Zea mays: one gene and its partner. The protein of the gene in region 1 interacts with the protein of each later gene in a pairwise test. Links are inferred from orthologs where the notes say so. Each region holds a gene or a part of one and is shown on either strand. Other genes may lie near its edges. The genes, in order: myb2 and BCAS2 protein.

The links.
Region 2: the proteins of myb2 (region 1) and BCAS2 protein interact in binary tests that used the Arabidopsis thaliana proteins (3 or more experiments, as listed by UniProt). The link is inferred for Zea mays from reciprocal best matches to the Arabidopsis thaliana genes CDC5 and MOS4.

Annotation. Positions count from the first base shown.
Region 1 is NC_050098.1:159,740,041-159,750,056, forward strand, and holds the start of myb2, read left to right. Parts: upstream 1-3,751; 5' UTR 3,752-3,926; coding exon 3,927-4,103; intron 4,104-6,780; coding exon 6,781-8,502; intron 8,503-9,453; coding exon 9,454-9,735; intron 9,736-10,016. UniProt on the Arabidopsis thaliana protein: Component of the MAC complex that probably regulates defense responses through transcriptional control and thereby is essential for plant innate immunity. Possesses a sequence specific DNA sequence 'CTCAGCG' binding activity.
Region 2 is NC_050098.1:40,101,792-40,109,843, reverse strand, and holds BCAS2 protein, read left to right. Parts: upstream 1-227; 5' UTR 228-376; coding exon 377-628; intron 629-1,918; coding exon 1,919-2,094; intron 2,095-2,815; coding exon 2,816-2,899; intron 2,900-3,007; coding exon of another isoform or gene 3,008-3,296; exon of another isoform or gene 3,297-3,391; intron 3,392-3,397; coding exon 3,398-3,467; intron 3,468-3,549; coding exon 3,550-3,683; intron 3,684-4,248; coding exon 4,249-4,297; 3' UTR 4,298-4,306; exon of another isoform or gene 4,307-4,396; 3' UTR 4,397-4,715; downstream 4,716-8,052. Other genes in the region: geranylgeranyl diphosphate reductase, chloroplastic-like, read left to right, coding at 5,194-6,531. UniProt on the Arabidopsis thaliana protein: Component of the MAC complex that probably regulates defense responses through transcriptional control and thereby is essential for plant innate immunity. Involved in mRNA splicing.

The DNA of each region.
Region 1 (10,016 bases):
TCGGAGGCCGACTTCTCACGGACAGCGTCCGCATGTTGCGTCCGAAGTCTCTCGACCTCGGCAGACAACGCTGCCGTAAGGGCCCCCGACGCAGTGCGGCTGGTGAAGTCAGCCACCTGCAGAACACACGTAAGGTCGTTGCGTAAAAAAAAAAGAAAAGAAAAAAAGAAAAAAATGTATAGCTCGGCGGACCTGACTCAGCGCCTCCGTCGCTCGACTCAGCGCCTCCGTCGCTCCCTTCAGCCGACGGGTCGCCACGCCCGCCTCGTCTCTGACCAGCGCGAGGGCAGACACCTCGCCTCCGGCGCCAAGGGTCTCTCCCCCCGCTTTCGGCGCTGGCGCAGCCGTCGCGATCGCCGCGCCAGGCACAACTAGAGCAAGCGGGCCCTCGTCCGACCCTGCAACGCGTCAACAATTAAAAAAAAAAGAAAAAAAAAGAGGTATATATATTCATATATACTTACCCCCAAGATAGTCGTCCACATCAATCTCGGTGCCGAAGTCGGCAACGCGCTTGCTAGGCAGCGGTAGCGATCGGGCCGCCTTCGCAGCCTCCGCCACCCCGCTGGCAGACGGCACCACCTTCGACAGCTTGGGGCCTCCGGCGCCCACCGTCGTCTCCGGCGCCTTGCCAGGCGCGGAGGCGCCCACCTTCGTCGGCAGCGGCGGCTTGCCTCCGCCAGAGGCCTCAGCCTTCGCCGTTCCCCGATGCCTTTTCGGCCGGGCTTCGTGAACCCTCACAGTCGCCTGGCGTTTTCGCGCCGCGCCTTGGCGATCCTTGTCCATCACTGCCCACACAACATGACCGATATTTCGCCCATAAGGAAAAACTTTCCACCGATGAACCATACGAGATGTAAAACAGTCCTCCTCAGCCGCGCAGGGGATAGGAATGTTTTTAGGCCAACAACCCCCGGTAACCCTCAGCATCCGAGCCGAAGACTCCCGGAGCTCGGGCGAAGACATCCTCTCCCCCGGGGCCGCACACGTCCTCATTAAATCTCTAGCGAAACTATCAGACACCCCAAGTCTTCCCATCGCAGTACCTAATTTTCTCTTTTTCGAGGAGGCGGCGGCCACCAGCGCAGGGTCGCCTCCAGTCTCCACCGCCGGCTTCTTCCCACGGCGGTCCGCTTCGTCTTGTCCAGGGTAACCGTCGTACGGCAGTTGATTTAATTCGAATACCCTGTTCAAGCGTTCATTTGACCCGCGGATGTCAAAGCTGCGCTGGCCTTCCGTCCTCGGCACGTAACGCCCCACGAGCCGCACCGTCAAGCCCTCCGCATCACGCACAAAGGCGGCCGGGTCACGGTTTCGCAAATTCAGTGCGAAGGCAGGGCTTCGCACCACCCTTCCTCCGTGAAAGGGCATCTGGCGAGGGCATACTTCGCCCAGCGCCCAGCCGTGCGCCAAGGGCCAGACCCCGTACGCCACGAACTCTTCAACTAAATCTCGACCGCTGCTCTGACCGGCGGCGCACCGAAGGGCCCCTTCGTCTGCATCCTCTTCTGCCACTTCATAAGGTGGATACGCAGAGTAATAGTGAGAGCACATTAAGGACACGGGGAGCCCTTCATGGCCTTCGACAGTAGCCTCAGCAACATAAAACCAAAATTCATTCCAATTGCCCCACTTGTTGCGGGCGCACGGGACCAACTCCACTACTGGCATTGTGGTCTTGCCGGTCTTCGGCGTGAATGTACATGACCCGAACTGGGCAATTCCGTCCTCAACCATCCTTTTCTGCCAATGCAAACAATAATTCTTCGCAAAAACTTCAACCGATGGCTGTCCGCCGTACGAAGTCGTCGCCCAGACATACTTCGCCAGCGCCACTATGGCGTTCGGTGTCAGCTGATGTATTTGAACGCTGAATCTACGCAGGACTTCGCTGACAAAACGGTGCGCCGGCAAGCGGAGTCCGGCGACGAAGAACGCCTCGAAAACAACCAACTCGCCCTCCGGCTCGGGGACTTCCTCCGTCCCCGGAGCACGGGCGACCCCGCCGCCAAAGTAGCCCAACCGCTGCATATCTTCAATGCGGGCTGACGTCATCCGTGACACACCAAATTCAACAGAGTCGCCGGCGCGCAACTCCTCCACCTCCACGTTACTCAACGTCTCCTCAGACGAGGCGGCGGCCGGCGACGCGGCGTCGGCGGAGGAAGAAGAGGATGGCATTGCTACGTACCGTCGTCGGCGGCGGGCGGTCTGCTTCACTCGAGCCAGAACGCCGGCGAGTTAAGGGAGCAGCGGAGGAAAAGGAGCAGCAAGACGACGGGCGGCTAGGGTTTTACGGAGCGCGGAAGGCAGAGTTCAAAAAGCGCCGCCCCCGCCCCCCTTTTATAGGCGGGGCGCGGCTCTTCGGGAAACCCGCAATCCGACAGGCCGCGACGCTTCGGGAAACCCGCAATCCAACAGTACGCCGTCCATCAACGGTCACATCAAAAACCCCCGCGGAACCACTTCGAGCGAGGGCAGCGTCTCCGCCATCTAGCGACGTCTTCGGCACCAGGTGACTTTGTCGAACTGGTCCCTCGGAGGGCAAATGTTGGGGCGAAGGCAAAGACGCCACCCTTCGCTCGAGGCCTTCGCTGCAGCCGCTGGTCCGACAGAGACAAAGCGGGCAGGGACACCCTTCGCAAGACTCGGCACGTTGACGAAGGCCTGCGGCGACGTCCTACCACGGCGCGTCCTCGTTCAGTCCCAAGGCCCACGTGCGATCTGGCCCATTGTAACGGGCCCCGCGTGGCCGCCTCTGTATTACGGGCCTGACTTGTAAAGGAGTACTTGTAATTACGGTCTGTAACCCTGCTTTATGGGAATATTCTGGGGATAAAATAGGTGTCTGAGGGCACATGCGTCCTTAACACAAGACGCTGGGCACTCAGATACCTATAAATACCCCCGCACAGTGCCCGTGAGGGGCTAGATCAACAGTGCTATTGCCCCCGTGCACGTAACCCTGTTGTCACCACCGTTCACTCTTGTTGGCCTTCTTGCTGCAGAGAGCAAGTTACAACAGGCGGCATCCGGCGGCGAGGTGTCGCTCGACCTCGACCTGGAGATGGAGGAGCTCGGCAGGACGACGCAGCTGCGCTCGCACCCGTCCTTCTCCAGCTCGCTCGAGAGGGACGACCGCGTGTCGTTGCAGGAACCCCATAAGAGTCACTCCACCTCCTCCTGTTCCTCCGATTCTGACACCGACGACGGCCGGAAGCGCCACGACGACGACGGTGAGGTTGTCCGGTGCACGTCTTCGTCTACCGCAGCGGGAACGAGGTCGTCTTGCAGTGGCTCGGCTTGTTCCTCACAGTCTCAGCAAAATCGATATCTACTGACGGACGACGACGGATTCGAAACGTAGGCGGCCTAATGATTCTCCTCAGCGGCTAATCAAGATTTTGAGTCTATTTCGTCGGATAGATGTCCTCTGTTTTTCCATATCCTCGAATCTCTCTCTCAACGCCTCCGTTTCGATGAAGCGGAATGTGTCGTATTTTATAATGACAAAAATCTCTCTAGGACTGGGCCTGCTCCTACTAAGACGGCCTTCGCTCTCTCGGGCCTGATGGGCTGTTCAGAGATGAACGAGCGCAAATGGAGCCCACTTCAGCTATCGTTCTTTGGGCCTTGAAACTGTCGACGATACCTGTCATCGTAAGCAACAGAACCCAAACCTCGCCGATTCGCTCCCCTTCCTCACCGCGCGCGTACGCCGCCGCCGCGCTCACCTCACCGAACCCTAAACCTGAGCCACCGCCCTCCCCCGGAGGTCCGCCGCTCCGTGTGGGACTCTAGGCGTCGCCGGAGCCCCCTCCAGGGGCTAGCGGCGGAGGAAGTCGGAAACCGATTACCCCTCCCCTCCCCTTACCGGGGGAGGGAGAAACTAGCGGAGGAGGCGAATCAGGTCAGAGTGGGGCACGATGAGGATCATGATCAAGGGAGGCGTGTGGAAGAACACGGAGGACGAGATCCTCAAGGCGGCCGTGATGAAGTACGGCAAGAACCAGTGGGCGCGCATCTCGTCGCTGCTCGTCCGCAAGTCCGCCAAGCAGTGCAAGGCCCGCTGGTATGAGTGGCTCGATCCGTCCATCAAGAAGGTAACCGACTGCTCGCCTCTCTTACGGTTCTGTCTTCCTCTCTCGGCAGACTAGCCTCACTGCCCGGTCGCCGTTCTATCACTGATTTTCGCTTTGCTTGGAGTGTCGTTCTCCTAAAGATCTAGCTGCCACGTTTAGAACACTGTCTTTTTCTTTTTCTGAATCCTTCTGCACTGGGAAGCATGCAATTCATAATGAGAGGGTAACTGTCACTGGATGGTTTCTTGTTCACTCAACAGTACAGATGTGGTTATTAAGGATTCTGGAGTGGCGAGTTCGTTTGAATTAAACTTTTAAGAAGCTCAGCACATTCTGCCGAGAAAGTGGAAAGCACTACAAGTCAATAAGTGATTTCCTTTCCTATGAAATCTTGCATGCTTAATGCATGACCTAATTCTTAGCAGTTTTGGTAACAATGTCCCCTGCATGCTAAAAGAGAAAAAAATGTTTGTCCTATGCATTTATGCATTGGAAGTTGGAACAACAGCAAGATTTATGCTCTATGAACTTTGATAGGTGTGCTGGTTATGAATTTTGGTAATATCAATCATTAGATGACTCTAAGTGTTATCAGCCGTTATCCTTTCACAAACATTCGAACTGGCAAACTTTAGAATCAGATAAAAGAATATCGTCTTTCAGCTTGAATATCTCGAGTTGCAAGTTGGCGGTAATACGAAATATTGACATCCTTACTTTAGTACTCCCTCCATCCCAAAATATAGTTCTTTCTAGCCTCCCATTTTTTCTGTCCACATTCATTCGAATGAATGTAGACAACTAGACATACATACAAACTACATTCATAGATTAATTCATTAATGTATGTTTAGTCTAAAACGAATTATATTTTGGGACAGTGGGAGTAGGTTATTGAATCTAATGCTTTCTGGAGCCAGATAATGAATTAATATCTTTTGCTTTTGTCTTGATAAGCATCCGTGTTTATATCGTTATATACATTATTATCTATTGATTCTGAAGGGCAGTCCTGGTGTAGTGGTGAGATATGTCTCACTGAGTCACCAGGTCGTTGGTTCGAAGCAGTTTCTTCGCATTGGGGCGGGGGGAGGCTTGCCTCGGTTGGGTCTGCCCTTCTTCTTATATCCTATGGATTCAACATCATCTAATAACATTTAATATTTCTACTAGCTAGATAACATACATTTCAACATAGATATTAACTGAATGAAAGTTTTTACAGTCTAGTGGTAACTAAATATAACTGGACTAAGCACCTGAATCATTTTTCTTGCCAAAAGAGAAACTTTGCACTGTTTAAGTAAAATTTGATAGTTTGGTTGCGCGAAATGTCTATAGCAGATGTTAACTTCTTCATAAAGTTGATTTTGAATGTAGAAGGTTTGGTCCACTGGGAAGTTACTTTATTTTATCTGAAATTCTGAATTATGTTGAAGGACAGCTCTTTTCACTGGACTTGGTTATTCAGAGTGGTGTACTTAACCAGGAACAACTAACCCTAGCTACTGTGTCGTGATCAGTTGCATGTCACTTTTACAGTTAGGTTCTCAGTTACTAAATAGGTTTATTAGCAACAGCAGTTTCATGCTGACTACCTGTTGTAATCTGTCTAAAATTTATCACACTGTGAAAATGCACCTAGGTAGCCTTTTAAGTTTGAATGAATAAGCTAAACTGGCTGATTCAACATTTCAACACTTAATTTGGTCAGGTGAGTTCGAATTTTACCTTATCTAGTCTTGATGTATTTAATTAGAAGAGCAGGGTGAAATATGAGCATTAGGTAATGGAACATTAACATGCTATAGTTATGAAAGGGTCTACTTATCTTGTTTTGGAGCTGGTTAGCTTCTGGAAAAATTTTAGTGTCTACAGATTTGTAGTTATTACTGTGTAAATGATTGGTTATTACTGGCTTCTAGCATGCAGCTTTTTTGGCAGATGTCAAATTTTTTAATTGACAATAGTTTCTTGGCAACCTAGAGCTATTGAACTTTTCACGCTTTAATATATTTATGAGATGAATGTCCGCTCTAAGTTTATCATTTGATAGTTTGTATGATGAATAAAATCAATACAAACTATGTTAGCATTTTCATCATTGTATTGATACAACTTGGAATGTTACTAGCCACTACAAATCATATTTAGAAGCAGTGCATTACTGATGTTTAGAAGAACTATTGTCTCTATTTTTTTTATTTCTTCCTGTCAATATTCAGAATTTGCTTCTTAAAAATAGAAGACAAAGCCGTCCAGTTTCCTCTTTGAATATTTGGTTGTGTCCAGAATGTTGCTATGGATCTGATTGGTCAAGCAATTAACGCCTTTTCTTCATTGATGGAATGTGGACCCATGTTGTTAAAAGTATAATGTAGTAATTAAATGTCTTTTGTTTGTTAACACAGGCTCTTAATCTAAATGAATGTGTGATACACTAGTACTTGTAATAAGGTGTTTGGTTACTGTACGGCGGGCACTATCATCTAATTTTTAACTTCAGTGAAGTTCTCTGAAATCACATCATCTGCAATGTTTTGACATGAATGGTTTAAAAAACCCATAACCTTCAAAATAGTTCTTTCATTGGTCATTTGCTCTATTATGGGCTTATGGCATAGGTCTTTCTTGTTTGTCACCAAGATGATTGTTTATTGTTTCTCTCACTGTGCTAACTCATCTATGTTAATTTCAGACCGAGTGGACAAGGGAGGAGGATGAGAAATTACTTCATCTTGCTAAACTCATGCCTACTCAGTGGAGGACAATTGCACCTATTGTAGGTCGAACACCATCTCAGTGTCTTGAACGTTATGAAAAGCTGCTTGACGCCGCATGTGCAAAGGATGAAAATTATGAGGCTAATGATGATCCTAGGAAGCTGCGGCCTGGCGAGATTGACCCAAACCCTGAGTCAAAGCCCGCACGTCCTGATCCTGTTGATATGGATGAAGATGAAAAAGAAATGCTTTCTGAGGCTAGGGCCCGCTTAGCTAACACTAGGGGTAAAAAGGCCAAACGGAAGGCAAGGGAGAAACAACTTGAAGAAGCAAGAAGGCTTGCTTCACTACAAAAAAGGAGAGAATTGAAGGCAGCTGGTATTGATACACGCCACAGAAAAAGAAAGAGAAAGGGGATTGACTACAATGCTGAGATTCCATTTGAAAAGAGACCACCTTCAGGTTTTTATGATACTGTTGGTGAAGACAGACCACCTGAACATGTACAGTTTCCAACAACCATTGAGGAGCTTGAAGGGAAGAGAAGAGCAGATATAGAGGCACAATTAAGAAAACAGGATATTGCCAGGAACAAGATCCTGCAGCGACAGGATGCCCCTGCTGCTATAATGCAAGCGAATAAACTAAATGATCCAGAAGCTGTCACAAAGAGGTCAAAGCTAATGCTGCCGCCTCCTCAAATTTCTGACCACGAGCTAGAGGAGATAGCAAAGATGGGCAGTGCTGGTGATCCTGCTTTAGCTGATGAGCTTGGTGAAGGAAGCACTGCCACAAGAACCTTGCTTGCCAGCTATTCTCAGACTCCAAGGCTTGGTATGACACCATTGCGAACTCCGCAGCGAACTCCAGCTGGGAAGGGTGATGCAATCATGATGGAGGCAGAAAATCTTGCACGTCTCAGAGAATCACAAACACCTCTATTAGGAGGTGATAACCCAGAGCTTCATCCATCAGATTTCTCTGGTGTTACACCACGCAAGAAGGAGATACAGACTCCAAATCCAATGGCAACACCTTTAGCAAGCCCTGGCCCTGGTATTACTCCAAGGATTAGTATGACACCATCCAGAGAGGGGCACAGCTTTGGTTTAACACCGAAAGCAACTCCTCTTCGTGATGAACTTAACATAAATGAAGTGGAAATGCAGGACAACACTAAACTTGAGCTTCGTAGGCAAGCCGAACTGAGGAAAAGCCTGCGATCTGGTTTTGCTTCTATTCCACAACCAAAGAATGAGTACCAGATAGTCATGCCACCTATTACGGAAGATGAGAAAGAAGAAGCTGAAGAGAAAATTGAAGAGGACATGTCAGACAGACTGGCACGAGAAAGGGCTGAGGAACAAGCTAGGCATGAGGCATTGCTCAGAAAGAGATCCAAAGTGTTGCAGAGGAGTCTGCCTAGGCCACCGGCTGTTTCAGTAGAGATTATCCGGCAATCTCTTATTAGAAGTGGAGAAAGCAGAAGCAGAAGCACCTTTATGCCTCCTACATCACTTGAACAAGCTGATGAACTAATAAATGAGGAACTCCTTAGGCTTCTTGAGCATGATAATGCAAAATATCCTCTTGATGAAAAAACTCAAAAAGAGAAAAAGAAAGGAAGCAAGCGTCAGCAAAATGGAGGACCTCTTGTCCCTGAAATTGATGATTTTGATGAAGATGAACTAAAAGAGGTGCTATTCTTTTTCTTCATCCTCTTTATTTGTATTAGAATATTCATGATGAACTGTATCTCTTTCCTGATAGTTTCGTCATTATTTAATTAGACCCCACCACATGCACAGTTTCATGGAACTATTTGGATAAACTGTAACTTGAGAGGCTATGCGCACATCTTCCTGTATCTCAATGACATGACACTGTTCATTATTTGCAGTACTTAATTACAAATTACATTGAGTTAATTGAACTGAGGTCAACTGGCATTTTGATTTAATAGCAAATACATAGATTTACATGAGTAATATCCTGTAAGGCAGAGGTCATAGTTAAAATAAATTATTGAAATTTCTGGTACACAAAATTTGAACATATTTTCCCTGATTGACTGTCATTTTTAGGTTGCAGCTGTAGGCTGTAGTTGCATGCTAGTCGTTATAGAAGCAGTACTGCAGTAGAATTCTATTTGCTGTTTCCACAGCTGCAGTTGCAAAAATCTGCAGCAAGAGCAAGCACAGCCATTCTTTAAGACATGAGTTTGACAATTAGAATCTTCTCTTCAAGTGCAGATGATTAGAATTGTCGATGTGTGACAACTGTCATTTTTATGGGATTCAACTTTGCACCTAGAATCCTCTGTTTATGCACTATAATGTTGTCAACAAGTTTGAGCTTTGCATTATAATCTTCATGAAACTCCTACAACATACATACATGTATCTGCGTTGAAATTAATTCCAATAACTAAACCGGGCATTTGAATGGCTAAAAGAACTACATACAGCACAATACAATAATACATAATCTACAAGCATGGTAGTTATCAAACCATTTATAGTGTGTGACTTCATAGTTCATATGCTTCTTCATTTTTTTTCTTTTATTCTGTGAGCAGTCCTCTATGCTTATTGCAGTTATGTAATGATGGAATAAGTTGTACAAATGGTCTTTTTTCGAATTGGCAGGCTAGCTCTATGGTTGAAGAGGAGATTCAATACCTTCGAGTGGCCATGGGTCATGAAAATGAATCTTTTGAGGACTTCGTGAAAGCACATGATGCATGCCAAGACGACCTTATGTTTTTTCCTACCAGCAATAGCTATGGTTTAGCTAGTGTGGCTGGAAATGCTGATAAGATTTCTGCTTTGCAAAATGAGTTTGAAACTGTGAAGAAGCGAATGGATGATGAAGCTAAGAAGGCTTCTCGGCTTGAGCAGAAGATTAAGCTTCTGACACAAGGATATCAGGTAAACTTGGCATAGTGCATCATCTGCAATCAAGATCATTTATATTAACTGAATTTAAGCAATATGTCATATTGCATGGCTTCTTTCGAGTTCTCTTTATTTGGTTTCTGTATTCTTTCTCTTTCATCTGCCCCGTTTTTTGGAGTATAATGAAATAATAGACTCTGTTGAAGCCAGTCTGAAAAACTGATGATAGTCACTGGGCTGCTGCCAGGGGGTGGACCCACTGGGTATGCTACATGGGCCACGTCATACCGTGCGGGGCAAGTGTGGATTTACTT
Region 2 (8,052 bases), about 120 Mb from region 1:
AAACAAACCTGAAGTAAGTTAATGGATAGGTTTCAGTTTTAACGACAAATATACAATGGAGATATCAGATAGAAACGATGTGATGCATGGATATCTCGTTTCTAGCTTTCAACAAAAAAAGAATGTTCATTCACACCAGTTCAATGGTTCAATAGAGTGCTGACGGGTTCTCTCCCTAGAGAGAAAAAAAAAACAGTAGACACGGGCCTTTCGAACCGTGCTCAATCCAAAACGCCAAACGGCCCACGTGCGCCGCGTTTCCTCCATCTCCATCCGGCCATCCCACCTCCGCTTCCTCCTCCGCGCCGGCCTACGCGACTGCTTCCCTCTCTCTCTCGAGTCTCGACTCTCGACTGCGCCGCTACAGCCTGACGCGATGGCCTCGTCGGCGACGAGAGAGGTTCTCATGCTTGAGGCGCCTCCGCCGTCCGACCCCGCTGCGGGGCCCTGGCGCGCGGTGCCGGACGCGGAGGCCATTGACGCGCTGCCCTACATCGACGGCGACTACGGCGATGCGGCGGTGAAGCGGGAGGTCGATCGCCTCGTCGAGGAGGAGATGCGCCGAGGGAAGCGCAAGCCTGCAGACTTCCTCCGGGACCTGCCCCCTGTTCCCACCGCCGGATTCGAGGTACAGTTGCAGAGATTTCTTAGCCCCAAAGGTATATTGGGGAGTAGCTCGAACCCATTACGTTTTCTCCGCGGATGTTAGGGGCTTAGCATAAGGTTGCAGCTTCGTCGATGTTAGCAGGTGCGATCTGCGTTTAGGGTTCAAAGGAGGGTCGTGCGGGAGCTAGGGTTTGCAGTTGTAGAGGTCACAGTGAACCAAGTTAGCTGGATGGATTATAAATATATGTTTTCGTTATTTAGATTTTGTGGAGCTCTAAGGCTGAATCCAACCATTCCCCCTCTCAAATCCCCCTATTCACATTCTCTATTCATATTTAAATACCTCCCTCTTCCCTCTATTAAATTGGTTGGAGACCGCCTAAGTAAATTAACTTGGTTGGGTCAATGTATCTCTGCATTGTTTAGACTTTATAACTAATTAACTATTGCATATGAAATTGAAGTTTTAGTTGACAACCCCTTTACATTTTACCTGCGAACCATTTAGGGGGTGTTTGGTTTCTAGGGACTAATTTTTAGTCCCTACATTTTATTCCACTTTAGTTACAAAATTATCAAATATAGAAACTAAAACTCTATTTTAGTTTCTATATTTGTCAATTTATATACTAAAATGGAACAAAATGAAGGGACTAAACATTAGTCCCTAGAAACCAAACACCCCCTTAATTGGGTTGTATAATAGGTATAACATCTAACAGTCACAGTTTTGTGATCCGTTTCTGTAACAGTGCATGTTAAGCTGGGGCATCATGCTCTTGTAGTCTGTCTTTTGTTACAGTACTTTAGATGGACATCCTGCACAGATCAAGGATTTTTGTGCTAGATGTTTACTTCGGGCTCAGATAAAGGAATAATGCTCAGAAAAGGACCTGCTTATGCTTTTATTAGTTCGATGGATTGATTGATGTTTACTTCTGATGGATTTGAGGTTACACCTCATCTGGTCATGACACTGAGGTCTGAGGATCAAGCATTGACCATTTATGATGAAGTATGCATCTCTAATTGAAATTCAATATTGAAACATGACTTGGAAGTTTTTAACAGAATATTCTGTACTATTTAGTGAGCACTGTTATTAAACTTGGACCTTGTGAAGCTACTATCTTCTTTTTCATGTATTTCAATTCCATAGTCCATAGATATCTTAGATATACTTGATTTTTAACTATTGTGTCATATCAAAACCGGAACCTTGATCTGAATCAAGAAATCCGCAGGTTTTGACTGTTTGAAAATCTATGTGTGGTGTAATTAACGTAAAGTATGCTATCATTTTTTGTTTCAGAATCATCCTATGCTTTCTAAAGAATATGAACGTGTTAGGGCTGGCAAACCTCCTTTTATGCTAGATATGTCTCGCTATGGTTTGGAGCCACCTCCAATGAACAAGAGGAATGATGTTGGCGCTTGGAGGCAGGCTCTACGGAATGCTCAGAGCCAGTTGCAGCATCAAATTATAAGGTAAGTCAAGGTATTATTTTTGGTGCATCAGGGGTTATGTATTCACATTCTATAACATAGATGCCTATTTGCAGAACTGTGTGTCTATGTAGAAACTAAGTAAAGCATTTTTGTGACAGCTACAAGTTTATAGCTTGTATAATAATGAATATGGCTTGCACTGTTGTTTAGCGTGATGTGAAAAAAATCTTAACTCTAACGTATGTACTGATAAGCTGCCATAACCATTCCTGACATGCCATAGTCAGAATAGTGCCCTTGTTTCTCCACAAATGCATAAAATCTGCTGCATGCTGAGTTAATGAACTTTTTCTCTGCGTAGTTGCATTTTCTACCCCATTTAATATAAAGGTCACAAGTTCACGATGCCTATATTTTTATTACTCTCTTCAATGATTTCTGTAGGGCAATTTTGAATTTGACCATTCATTTCTGTAATTTATATGTTTTGATAAGTGATAACTATGAAATGACAGCCATAATATTATAATCTAACAGTACATTATTTTTGTCATTAAACCTGCATGTTATTTTTAGTAAATGTATTCAAATTTCAAATCTTGAAACTTTCATGCCTCATAAAAGTGATGAATAAAAGGAAAAGCCATTACTGTTACTCTATTGCTGGACAAACCTTTATCTGTTTTTCTGTTTATGATAAATAGAAATTTATTGGTGCCTTATTTTGAAAATATGTTTTGAAACAGTGCTAGTATTGCAGGATAGAGAATCTCGAGCTTATGCTGAAATATGGCGTAGATGTTTGGAAGCTCCAGAACAGACAAATGGAATCAGTTCTGTCTAGGTAAGTTAATGTCTATGTGGTCCTTGACAATGTCGTGTCTCTTCTTTCTTGCCTTCCATTTAGAACACGGCCTGTTTGGTGCCATGCTGGCTATGGCTCCATTGGCAGCTTCGGCGTCGGAGGCTGGAGCCGGAGTTGCACCAAACAGCCAGGAGAGGAGAAACGCTTCTGCACCTGTGGAAGAGGAACTGGGGCTGTTTTACATGTATGGATGCGAAGCTGGTTTCCGGGGCTCCCGCTCCGGCAACAGAGTGCCTGCGGAGGAACCGCACTAAATGTGCCCTTAGTTTGGTTTACGGATTGCACTATCAGTTATTGGGAAGCGACAAAAAATGATGTATCTAAATCATATTTTGTTGATCTTATGTGTGATATGTCAGTGATAGTGCGAGCTTAGATGTCCACTGAAGCACTCTACATGTTTTATAGGTTTAAAATATTACCAATCAGTGTCACACTTATATGGATTTGAGACATGATCTGCCATCTTATATGCAGGATGCAAAAGATGGCTGTAGAATACAATGAAAGGATAGAAAATGTCAATCGCGAGAGGAAGTTCCACCAGGTTATAAGCATTGATCTCTTTATTTGGAAGTTTGAGTCATGATAATATTTCATTGTCAGCTCATAATTTGTTTTTTAATCAGCAAAATACTGGAGGACAGCTGCATGCCCTGAAAATGGAATGGCAGGAGCTGTGTCAAAAAAATATAGCTATTCAGGCTGCTTGTGTTGACCTGCAGAATCATATTGATCAGCTTAAACTTGAAGCAAAAGAACTGTACGTGTACTCTCTTCTTCCCCCCTCCCTCTCCCTAGGCCTGTTCATAGTCTGGTTACAACCCAGCCCAACCCAGGAAGACCATAGCAAACCGCACATAGAGGCAATGTACATGCTGGTTTGCATCGTGTCCAAACCACTTAACCCGTGGGTTCATCTTCTTCCTGCTGTCGGTGCACCTTCCTATCTTATTGAAGTTGCTGATACCGGTCCTGCCAATTGAGTAAAGAAACTGCAGCCGCTACCTTGACAATCCTGCCTTCCCATCTCATCTGTGCTGCCTCTTCGTGCCGTCCGGGTCCGGCGTCCATGACTGGCTGCCGCTGATCATCTACTTCCACGGAGGCGGATATGTCCTCTTCCGTGTGGCCTACGATCTGTTGTACGACACCTGCATGGCGCTCACTGCCACCACCTTGGCTGTTGTCGTATCTGTGGGTACCAAACCGGAGGAGAATAGCTACGGCCTACGGGTTGGGGCGGGTTTACCCAGAAAATGTTTTAACCAGATCAGGCCGACCTTTCCATCTATACATATGAATCGTGATAGAATACTTGTTAACAGGGGAATGCCCATGGACGACAACTCAGGAACCGACCCACAAGCATCATGAGGATTTGAGGTACATTATGTGCCGTCCAGTTAAGTTGAGACGCCACGAGACAGCCATTGTTTCCGTTATGTTTACAAAATTATGCTGTTGCTACTACAGATACAGAGGTGGCAAGGAAGAAGCTACGCTTCATTTGAGTCTGGCAGCTGGACGTTTCATTAGCCATTGTGATTACCTGTCCTGCAATTGTCATATGGGACAGTCTGTTTGATATTGAAAACAATGTGGACTGTGCCTAGCAATCCCATGACCTGTGCTCCTGAAAACACCTCGCAGAGGAAGAATCTAAATTCGTGTATTGTTGTCCGTTGAAGTGCCCTAACTTGTGGCAAGAGAAATGCAGCTGATGTATGCAGACTCTCCAGTTGACATTGAGTTCTTACATGAAGCTTTTCTGTTTGATTTTCTGCTTGTTTCTGAAAATACCTTGTGCTTTGCCCTCTTCTGAACACGCTTACAAGTGTTTGCAGACAGTGCATTTCAAAAACCCGGGTTTTTTTTAAATCTGTATGTTTGAAAGCACTTGATGTGTCCATTTTAGATCCAACGGTAAACAAGTGACACTTCGAAATCGTACCTGGACGGCTCGTCCCCCGTTTCCGAGTTCCAAGTAGAGGACGTAGAGGTGGTAATGAATTAAGATCCAAATGTTTCTTAATAAAATGATAGTGCCTTAAATAAATTGTAGTTAAAAAATAAATAAAAATAAGACTTGATTTTAATTAGATCCTTAAATTTTATTGTAAAATTTAGATCATATTGTTACCCATATTCCAACTGTCACACTGCCACTGCAGAGCCACCACACCGCGCCTGCAGCTAGACTCCAAGAAGGAAATCTCCAGCGTCCAGCCCATAGTGAATCTCCCGGAGTCGCCCAAACCACAGCGACAACCATGGCCGCCGCCGCCTGCTATTCGCCAGCGCGCATCATCATCTCCTGCTCAGCCACCACCACCTCCTCATCGTCGTCAGCGCGCACGCTGCGCGTCGCCGTAGTGGGGGGTGGCCCCGCGGGCGCGTCGGCTGCCGAGGCGCTGGCCTCGGCGGGGGCCCGGACGTTCCTCCTCGAGCGCAGCCCCGCGGGCGCCAAGCCCTGCGGCGGTGCCATCCCACTCTGTATGCTGGACGAGTTCGCCATCCCGCGGGACCTCGTTGACCGCCGCGTCACCCGGATGCGCGTGCTCTCCCCCTCCAACCTCGCAGCCGACTTCTCCCGCGCGCTGCCCCCCGGGGCGCACATCCCCATGCTCCGCCGCGAGGTGCTCGACTCCTTCCTCCGCCGCCGCGCCGTCGAGGCCGGGGCCGAGCTCGTCCCGGGCCTCGTCACCTCGCTCTCGCTCCCCGCGGGGCCCGCCGACCCCTACCTCGTCCACTACATCTCGTCCTCCCCGGAGGGCGTGGGAGCGGGACGGAGCGTGCTGGAGGTGGACGCCATCGTCGGCGCGGACGGCGCCAACAGCCGCGTGGCGCGCGAGGTCGGGGCCGGGGACTACACGACGGCCATCGCGTTCCAGGAGCGCATCCGCCTCCCCGACGCCGGCATGGCGTACTACGACGACCTCGCCGAGATGTACGTGGGCGGGGACGTGTCCCCGGACTTCTACGGCTGGGTGTTCCCCAAGTGCGACCACGTGGCCGTCGGGACCGGCACCGTCGCCGCCAAGCCGGAGATCAAGCGCCTCCAGTCCGGCATCCGGGCGCGCGCGGGCCCCAAGATCGCCGGCGGCCGCGTAGTCAAGGTGGAGGCCCACCCGATCCCAGAGCACCCGCGCCCGCGCCGCGTCGTGGGGCGCGTGGCCCTAGTCGGCGACGCGGCGGGGTACGTCACGCGGTGCTCCGGCGAGGGCATCTACTTCGCGGCAAAGTCGGGGCGGCTGTGCGGGCAGGCCATGGCGGAGGAGTGGGCGCGCACGGGCTCCGTGACGGAGGCCGGGCTGAGGCGCGGCTACCTGCGGCGTTGGGACGACGAGTTCCTGCTCATGTTCCGGTTCCTGGACCTGCTGCAGCGCGTGTTCTACGGCGGGAATGCCGGCCGCGAGGCGCTGGTGGAGATGTGCTCCGACGACTACGTGCAGCGGCGGACGTTCGAAAGCTACCTGTACAAGCGGATGGTGCCTGGCGAGCCGTGGGGCGACCTCCGGCTGCTGTGGCGGACGGTGGCCAGCATGGTGCGCTGCGGCGTCATCGGCAGGGAGGTGGAGCGCCTGCGACGGCTGGAGCTGCAAGGCTAGATAGGAGCTTTGCTGAATAATAATAATGTAAGATGTGGCCGATTGACGTTGTCATCGTTTTCTCAATGCATTTTATACCCTTCCTTTGAAATTTGGTAAAGATCTTAAAACTTTGCCATGAATAAGCTGTGGTTAGGAACCGGATACATATCGAACTATACCCACAATGCGAATGTCAAGTGATAACCTTATCGTACAGCACAATTGCGATGCATTAAAATGAACTGAATTGCTCAGTAAACGATCTACCAGCGCTAATGGCCAATTACAGTGTCTTAACATCGGAACATGTATTGAGAGTAATCACGCAACATAAGTACAAAACAAAACCAGCTCTCTGAAAAGCCTACCAAAGAAATACAACACTTAAACATTCCAATGAAACAACAATCATCAAAATGACCATGGCTCCGTTTCTGCGGAAAATGCCTCACCATGTGCTCCGTGAAACCGCAGAAATATCCAATCAGGCCTGTGTTCATTGGTATGTCAGTGTGCCGCATGAGTACATGACAGTCTTGGTAATGCTAAGCAGCGAAAAAGGTCCGACTTATTTCAAAGATCATGGGAATGCTGATTAAACTACAATAATTTTGCAAACGAGTGTGTGGAGTTTGGTAATCAATACCTTGTTTGCAATGTTGTTCGAGAGCCAGTCAAGACCCTCGTACAAACCTATCTCCTGTGGTAGCACATGTGCTCTGGATATACCTACAAGTCACAGAGAAATCACATTAAAAGTTTTTAATGTCGGTAAAAATTATCAAACTATCAAGTTACCGTGCAATCAAACTATCGAGTCATGAAAAACTCTCGCGGGGGCATTTGGATACCTTCGTTTTAGGGAAATTAGAATTCACTTAATAAAGTAACCTATTTAGCTTTGAGTTTGACATTTCATCACTTTCCAAAGTTCAGATATAAGTCTATCTCAAATTCATGAGTGGGGCATGGGAAATGATTTTATGTATTACTAGAATTTGTTTTTACTCTGTAACTTACATGACGCTCTTCGGTTCACTTCTTTATAATAAAAATGGAGCACATAAATATCTCCGATATCTTACTAATAATAGTATACAAATATATTTTACATAAAATCAAATTAGCTTAATTGATATATACCTAAATTACTATTATTAGAATGAAATTCAATTCCAATGATCAAACGTGGCATTAATGTACACTTTTAAAAATAATTCATGTATAAGTAATTGAGTAACAACAATAATTGAGTTATATCTATAGATTTTAAGCCTTTTCACGTTGACCAGCAACAGAATATTTTATGAATCATTAGCTAAGTTAATTATTCAAAATAATTAGTATTGTATCTTAATTATTTTTATGCAAAATAAAGAATGAACCAATATTTGGATCGGGTGCGGGTCACCCACGGGTTAAAATAGAAACCCGCACCAACGCCCGCGAAACTTCGGGTCGGATGCGGGTTGCACCTGCGGGTCAAAACCTCCACCCATACCCGCACCTATCGTGTCGGGTACTGTCGGCGTTTCGACC